2 linked regions of the Oryzias latipes genome follow. The protein of the gene in region 1 binds, or shares a complex with, the protein of each later gene. Links are inferred from orthologs where the notes say so. Each region holds a gene or a part of one and is shown in the gene's direction. Other genes may lie near its edges.

Region 1 (3,565 bases):
AAAACCCACTCTAATGTAAATCATATTTTGGGTGTTTTTAACATGTTCTTGTTGGATTTTTTCTGGTGATGAAAGAGATATATTAAGAAAATTAAGCTCTAAACAGCATTTATAATTATTTCTTTATTCAAATTGTTGTGAATCAGGAGCAGACAAAAATAATACTGTTGGAACAAGAGCTTATTTGTAATGTAAAAAATATGCTGGGCGGGCCACAAACTCCCTGCTCCGCTTCATTCTGATGCATCCACCTGCAGACAAATAGATTCATGTATGTCTTTGTTGTCCCTCTCCGAGCTGGCATCTGGCTCTAATCTGTATGACTGGATAGCTCCAATACCTTTCACAAAGTCTGTTGCACCGCTAATGTTATTTTGGGGGTGTAAGGGGCTGTAAGCTAGCGAGAGTGCGTTTAAACAAAGAGCTCTCAGCAACAGGAAGGGAAAAGGGAACGACCTTGCTCCGCCCCAACTCAGGTGAATTCCTAATTAACAACTAGTGCAGAAAGTATGTTCTAGAAAACAAGTTTTTTGATATTGATTAAAAACTGCAGAATCGTAACTGGGAACGCTTTTACAATTGATCAACTGATTATCGGAGCGGATCTTTCATGAGGTTATTCTTGGTGGTTTTTCCTATGGGCAATGTATTATTTTATTTTTTTTGTAACGCGTTCCCAGTGGTCTTTTAATTATGATTATCGTTTTTAGCCACAAAAAAGGTGTTGTTTTTTAGAATTTAGTTTATGCAGAGTGGCAGCAGCTCACTATAAATTCACCTCTAAGTTGAGGGCAGGACTGTTGGCGCGGAAGAACTCGTCAACCTTTTCCCTCCCCGTTGCAGAGCGGTGTGGCCCTCTATGTCACAAATAAGACAATTTTGAAATGGCATTTAATTGTCTGCTCCTGATTCACAACAACTTTATGAAAGTAACACAGAAATGCAATTTTGAGCTTAATTGTCTTTACATACAGTACAGAACAAAGGTTTGGACACACCTTCTCATTCAAAGAGTTTTCTTTATTTTCATGACTGTGAAAATTGTAGATTCACACTGAAGGCATCAAAACTGTGAATTAACACATGTGGTATGATGTACATAACAGAAAAGTGTGAAACAACTGAAAATATGTCATATTGTGGGTTCTGCATAGGAGCCACCTATTGATTTTTCAGTTATTTAACACTTTTTTTGTTAAAAAACTTAAATGTAAGTTCTGATTGGAATTGGTGACATCTAAAATGCAGTATCTGAATCTGTAACATGTTTGAGGAATGGTGGGAAATGTTGCCTTTAAGGATTTTTTTGTTTATGTGAAGTTTGCACTTATCCTTCCACTCTGTCATTTTCTTTCATTATTGGCTATCGTCATCATCAGAAATGGTTGTAGAACATAAACAGTTGGGTGAAGCTCTGTCCTTTTGTGTCTGTTTCTCTCTGCAGTTTGCTGTCTGAAAACAAAGAGAGCAGACACTGCAGTCAGGACTCCATGGGCGAAGACTCGTTTGTCTCCAGCTCAGGAGTCGATCCTTTCTCAGAAAATGCCACCTTCAGCGATAGCGAGACCCAAGGTCTTACTGAGCCATTCCATCATCCTTTGGATCAACCCCCAAGTTATAACTTAGAGCCAGAACCAGCATCCCTGGATTTGCCTTCCTATGAAGAGCAACCTGTTGAGCACCAAATCTGCAATGGTGCTAATTCCGAAGCACACTTGTGCCCACTTGTGCTTTCCACACTCCATGAGGGTGAGGTGTTTGTAGAGGAAGAGGACGTGAAAAGTGAAGGAGGGAGCAACGAGCTTGTCCAGGACACAACGCAAAGCGATACCTTAGAGGAGTGCACCACCAAAACTCAAGAGCATCAAAGTTCTCTGCGCTCCAGTAGCATGGTCAGCAGGAAATCATCCTCAGAGTCACTCCCAGTGAGTAAAATGCATTTGCAGATATATGAAATAGGTTCAGTTTTGGTTCCTAACAGTTTGTGATTGTTCCACATGGTTAACAGGCAGAATGGAGTTTACCTCTCAGTTGCTGTTTGGGTTTTTCCGTAGAGAAAATTTCAAAGCTATTACTTGACTCTTTTTCTGTAGTGTCGATTTACTGTATGCGCCATATTTTTCGAACTTTGAGTCGCTCTGGAGTGTAAGTCGCAGCAGCCAAAAATGTCTCACATTTTCAGAGAAAAGTGCAATGCTTCTGAACAACTCTGCCAAGCTTCGCATAATGTTGTGTCTACACCAAATACGATTTACGTTCCAAATTTGCGTCCACTGCCTCTTTCTTCCAATTCTCAATGCTTGTCCAAAAATGTTCATTAACGAGACTCTCCTGTACGTGTAGGAGAAGCTACCATAAAGATTTAGGCTCATCGCGACATGGAAGCATCGACTGTATATCTCATTTAAAATGCATGGAAGACATGGATGATGTCCAGAGATCGGGCTTATTTTAGGGGTGAGCCGATATCTGCAACTGTGGCCGATAGCCGAAATTAGCAGATGCCAATGTTTTAGTGTCGACAATAGGGCTGCACGATATGAGGAAAACTCACGGTTTGCGATATTAGTGGTCAATATTGCGATGACGATATAACTTGCTATACTGTAAATGAACATATGGCAAAACAACTAAATACATCTGTTCCGTTTCACTGCAACAGTTTAATTTAAATAACAGTCAACATAACTTAAATTATACTCCAAATGACCCTCGTCTAAATAGGAGCCTAGCATCTAACATAAAAGGGATCTATCTGATTGGTTAATGATATAAAGGACTCCATCCTATTGGTCAAACGCATAAAAGGATTTATTTGATTTGTTAAATACTTCAAGCTGCCTTAAGATTGGTTTAGCACATTTAAGGTAACCGTTCATTTCAATTTTTGCCGACTTTTGCAATATGCATTTTGCACAGCGTGGTATTGCGATAACGATAAATTACCGATTTATTGTGCAGGCCTAGTCCACAATAACCCAAAGTTAAGATTTCCTGTTTGTTTTTTTTATTAGAAATACACATCTGCTTGTTTACTGTACCTTTACATTGTACCTGACGTTTTTAACGTACAGACAGGGATGTCAGCAAGTATCACTGTAAAACTTTGAAAATATATCTGAAACTTTCAGACCATTTACTGACTATTAGACATAAAGGTAAACCATAAGCTTCCCAATGCCAGGGATCTATTAGGGACAAGTATCCATTTCAAAATTAAAATACTTTTTTCTTTCACAGCTCTATAAAACAGTCAGAACAATATCTATTGAGTCAAATTGGGTCCATAAAGATTTGAAACCTAAATAAAAAAACTTGAAAAATTTAAGCTGCAATATTGGTGTTAAGCTAAAAAATAGTGTCTGAAACTTTCTGGAATTCTAATATAGACTTAATTATTTTCAACTTTTAATGTTATGTTTTCTAAGTCAACATAAATCATTTTCGGAATAAAAACAACAAGGCTCGTTTAAAACACCGGATAATTAAGCACATGAATTTATGTTTTTTTTTCTCAACAACAGAGAGCTTCCTCCGACTGAAAAAATAAAAGAACGTCGCAACA
Region 2 (3,578 bases), on another chromosome or scaffold:
CGCTCCTGCACAGGTCAGTGACGTCAGCGCACAGGTTGACCTGCCCATGCCAGCGTCCAATTGGACACATTATCGGAACCGCGCGGGTCTCACCTGCAGCTTGGCGCGCTCCACCTCCCAGTGCGCGCGCTCCACCTCGAAGCGCGCCCACTCGTGCTGCAGGAAGTGCAGGATTCCTGGGACGCTGTACCGCGCGCGGGCCGCCTCTCCGCCGCTCACGGAGCCCAGATGCGGAGCCGAGCCCGAACCGCCGCCGCTCAGGAACACCCCGGGGCCCGCGTGCTCGTCCATCATGGCGGGACCACGGAGCCGCTGGTTCGGTCCGGTGGGTCAGCCGCGTCGCTCGAAAATCCTCCGCGGAGGAAAATCCATCCAGAACCGCGCGCGAGCTGTGGACCACGCAGTCCCGCAGCCTGTCAGACGGATGCTACGTCACAACCGCTTTGCACTGTCAAAATAAAATACCATCAATGAAATGAAAGGTTTCCAAACAATAACGCTCCCTAATGTTTTATTCGGTATTCTATGTCTCAAGTTTGTGTAAATAATTTATATTACTTATTTTTTGCTCTCAATAGCTTATAAATATAATATTTCAAAAGTTAAAAACAGTGTTTACTCGTATTCAGAACTGTATTTATTCTTGTATTGGTATGAATTTTATATTTTCAAAGACATCTGTTGGGGGGGGGGGGGTATTCTGACCCCTCCCCATAGACCAGTAGCAGAGTGGGGGTTTGAAGACTCAACAGGATGAAATGAACAAAATGAATAAATAAACTTGAGGAGGTATAAGGCTTCTATGTGGATGCAGTCTGTAAAATCTGTTTTTTAGACAAAATATTCCCAGAATGCAAAGACTAAACCTGTGAAGGTAAATAAAACTTTATAAACGTCACCAGCACCAGTTGACCCCCCCAACGCCATTCAGGTTCATTTGTACGCAAACCTCTGGAAGATATAGTCACAATGAGAAAGGATACTTTTATTTTGAAAGTACTAATAATAACATGTTTGGACTTTTCTTACCTGCGCCATGACGTCACTGACCCGCCAGCTGACTGTCTGCACTTTCCTGTCTTTGACTGATGGAAATCCAGATCATTCTGAGAGTTGAAACGAAGATCAACAACAATGAAAATTTCAAAGAACGGACTTCATTTAAACAGAACTGAACTCTGAGGATGAAGATGATGAAGAACAATTCTGTCTGTGATGTTTTTGTGAGAATATTTTGAATCATAAGTTTGGTTTAAAATTAAATCAGCAATTGTGTGTGGTTACATGTGTGTATTGTTGTATGCGTGTGTGTGTGTATGCGTGTGTGTGCGTGTGTGTGTGTGTGTGTGTAAATAAGGAGAGTAAAGCACGTGACCTTGTAGAGGTCATCCCAGCTTGGACCTGCGCGCACGTGACCTGGCTTTTCACTTTGATCACCTCACGTTCATAAAGGTCTCTCAAACAGTGAGGACCCCCCCACCTCCGGCTGATCAGAGACCCGTATTGACCACGCCCACCCCGTGGACACGCGGCAATCAGCTGATGTGTTCCAGCCGCCCGTATTTAAGCCCCACGCGGGCTCGTCCGCGCGCTGTCTCCGACCCGGCGCTCCATCATGCCTCCGCTGGAGAAGATCCCTCCGCAGAGCAAACCTTTCAAACAGAGGAAGAGCTTTGGTAAGGCCTCGCGCGTTCACGCACGCGCCACAGTTTGCCACTAACGTAACGCTCCGTTTGTGTCGTGCGCGCAGCCACGCGGAAACAAGAGGTGGCGGGAATTAAATCCAAATTTCCGAACAAGATCCCGGTAAGTAGGCGGCCGTCACGCGCAAAGGTGTTTGTTCGTTCCCACTCAATCAGCTGCTGCGCCCCCCCAGGTCATCATCGAGCGCTACGACAAGGAGAGGTTCCTGCCCCCCCTTGATAAGACTAAGTTTCTGGTGCCGCACGAGCTCACCATGACGCAGTTCGTCACCATCATCAGGTGAGTCTGTAGAGAGCGCGCCGTGCGTGCGCGCGTGCTCTAGGCTGTTTTAAAAGATCAATTATCTTTCTTCATAAATGGGTCAGCTTTGTTTGTTCCTGAAGGAGACACATCACGTGACACTGCAGGCACGCGCTCCTTAGAAACCTTTTAGAGGGGGTGGGGGTATCCAGAACCCAGATGAGCTGCTCAGTCTTCTTCATCCAAGTTCTGACTGCTGAGTCGGTTCTGAAAGTCTTCCGTTGTGTGGATCAGAACTTTGGGTTCAGTTCTTCTCTGAAAAGTTTTGGTGACAGATGTCCAGATCTTCCTCCTCTTCTTCTTCCTCCTCTTCCTCCTCCTCTTCTTCCTCCTGAGTTTCTGAAACCTGCAGACACTTCTGATCTGACTTCCAGCTGCCGTCTGTTTGCTCCTTCAGCCGCTGTAATCTGACACCAGATTATGGATTAGCAGATTAAAGTCCAAAGTCCGGTTCTGTCCTGCAGAGCCCTGAAAAACGAGGATCTGGGAAGTTCTGGGGTGGATCTGAAGAGCAGATTTCTGACCGTTTTGATCAAACTGCGGATCTGTTGGAGTTCCATCCAGAATTTGGGCTTCATGGAGGAAATCAGCTTTTCAGAATAAAATGTCTTCCTGTCCTCATTCAGCATCAGATGTGAGGAAATGACTGGTCAGCAGGTGGCGCTGTGGACCTGGAAGCTTTTTAATCTGTTTTCAGATGTCAACAGAATCCAGTATGCTGGAACAGCTGCACATTGACGCCCCTCCCTCTGCAGGAACCGGATGGCGCTGCTGCCCAGCCAGGCCTTCTACCTGCTCATCAACAGCAGCGGGCTGCCCAGCATGTCCCTCACCATGGCCCAGGTCTACAAGGACCACCAGGACGAGGACGGCTTCCTCTACATGACCTACGCCTCGCAGGAGATGTTCGGACGCTGACGCCGCCGCCGCACTTTTACGGACTTCCGCTGTGAATCTGCTGTAAATAGAAAATATTTTTATAAACTGACGTTTCTGTGGACTTTTAAAGATGAAGCAATAAATGTTGAGCAGTGAGGCGTCTGCAGGACTTTCCTTCACCTGAACAGACGGCGTCCGGTCTGCGCTGCGTTCAGGTCCGTCTGTAAATGTGAGGGTTGATGGAAAAGAACCGGCTGTGTTCCAGAATGTGGAGCTGAGGATGGAGCCGTGTTTGTTCAGATCATTTCCTGGATGAAGGAAGGTCTTTGATCGCTGCGACGGGTCGGGTCGGGTCGGAACTCTTCAGCCTCAAACGCGTTTCAGTTCCTGACAAAGTAATCGGAGTAAATGTCTAGCTCCAAGAAGAGGGGAACGGAGACCTCCAGCCCAGACAGAACACCCCCCCCCCCCCCCACACACACACCCGGGGGGGGGGGGGGGCTCTAGAACCTGGTCTGTGTTCTGAGTTTGACTGGATCAGCTGAGAGGTCCAGAACAGAAATGGTCATCAGAACCCCATCAGTGACTCCTCCTTAAACCCAAACCGGGTCACTGTGTCGGTAGAGTCCATCAGAACCAGCACCACTTCACTGGACTCTAACATCTGTCAGTGGATTTATCGCCGAGACGTCACG

What was found. Proteins that work in one complex are often made in the same cells at the same time.
Region 2: the proteins of plekhm1 (region 1) and map1lc3c are in contact, whole or in part, in a crystal structure (PDB 5DPW), measured with the Homo sapiens proteins. The link is inferred for Oryzias latipes from reciprocal best matches to the Homo sapiens genes PLEKHM1 and MAP1LC3C. Residues at the interface, in NP_055613.1 of Homo sapiens: Glu632, Asp633, Glu634, Trp635, Val636, Asn637, Val638, Gln639, Tyr640; in NP_001004343.1 of Homo sapiens: Phe13, Arg16, Lys17, Glu25, Ile29, Phe33, Lys36, Pro38, Asp54, Lys55, Thr56, Lys57, Phe58, Leu59, Val60, Pro61, Glu63, Leu64, Ile72, Arg76, Phe114.

The regions. Positions count from the first base shown.
Region 1 is NC_019877.2:16,171,670-16,175,234, forward strand, and holds part of plekhm1 (pleckstrin homology domain-containing family M member 1), read left to right. Parts: intron 1-1,444; coding exon 1,445-1,925; intron 1,926-3,565. UniProt on the Homo sapiens protein: Acts as a multivalent adapter protein that regulates Rab7-dependent and HOPS complex-dependent fusion events in the endolysosomal system and couples autophagic and the endocytic trafficking pathways.
Region 2 is NC_019859.2:738,191-741,768, reverse strand, and holds map1lc3c (microtubule-associated proteins 1A/1B light chain 3C), read left to right. Parts: upstream 1-1,526; 5' UTR 1,527-1,615; coding exon 1,616-1,676; intron 1,677-1,750; coding exon 1,751-1,806; intron 1,807-1,876; coding exon 1,877-1,983; intron 1,984-2,759; coding exon 2,760-2,922; 3' UTR 2,923-3,039; downstream 3,040-3,578.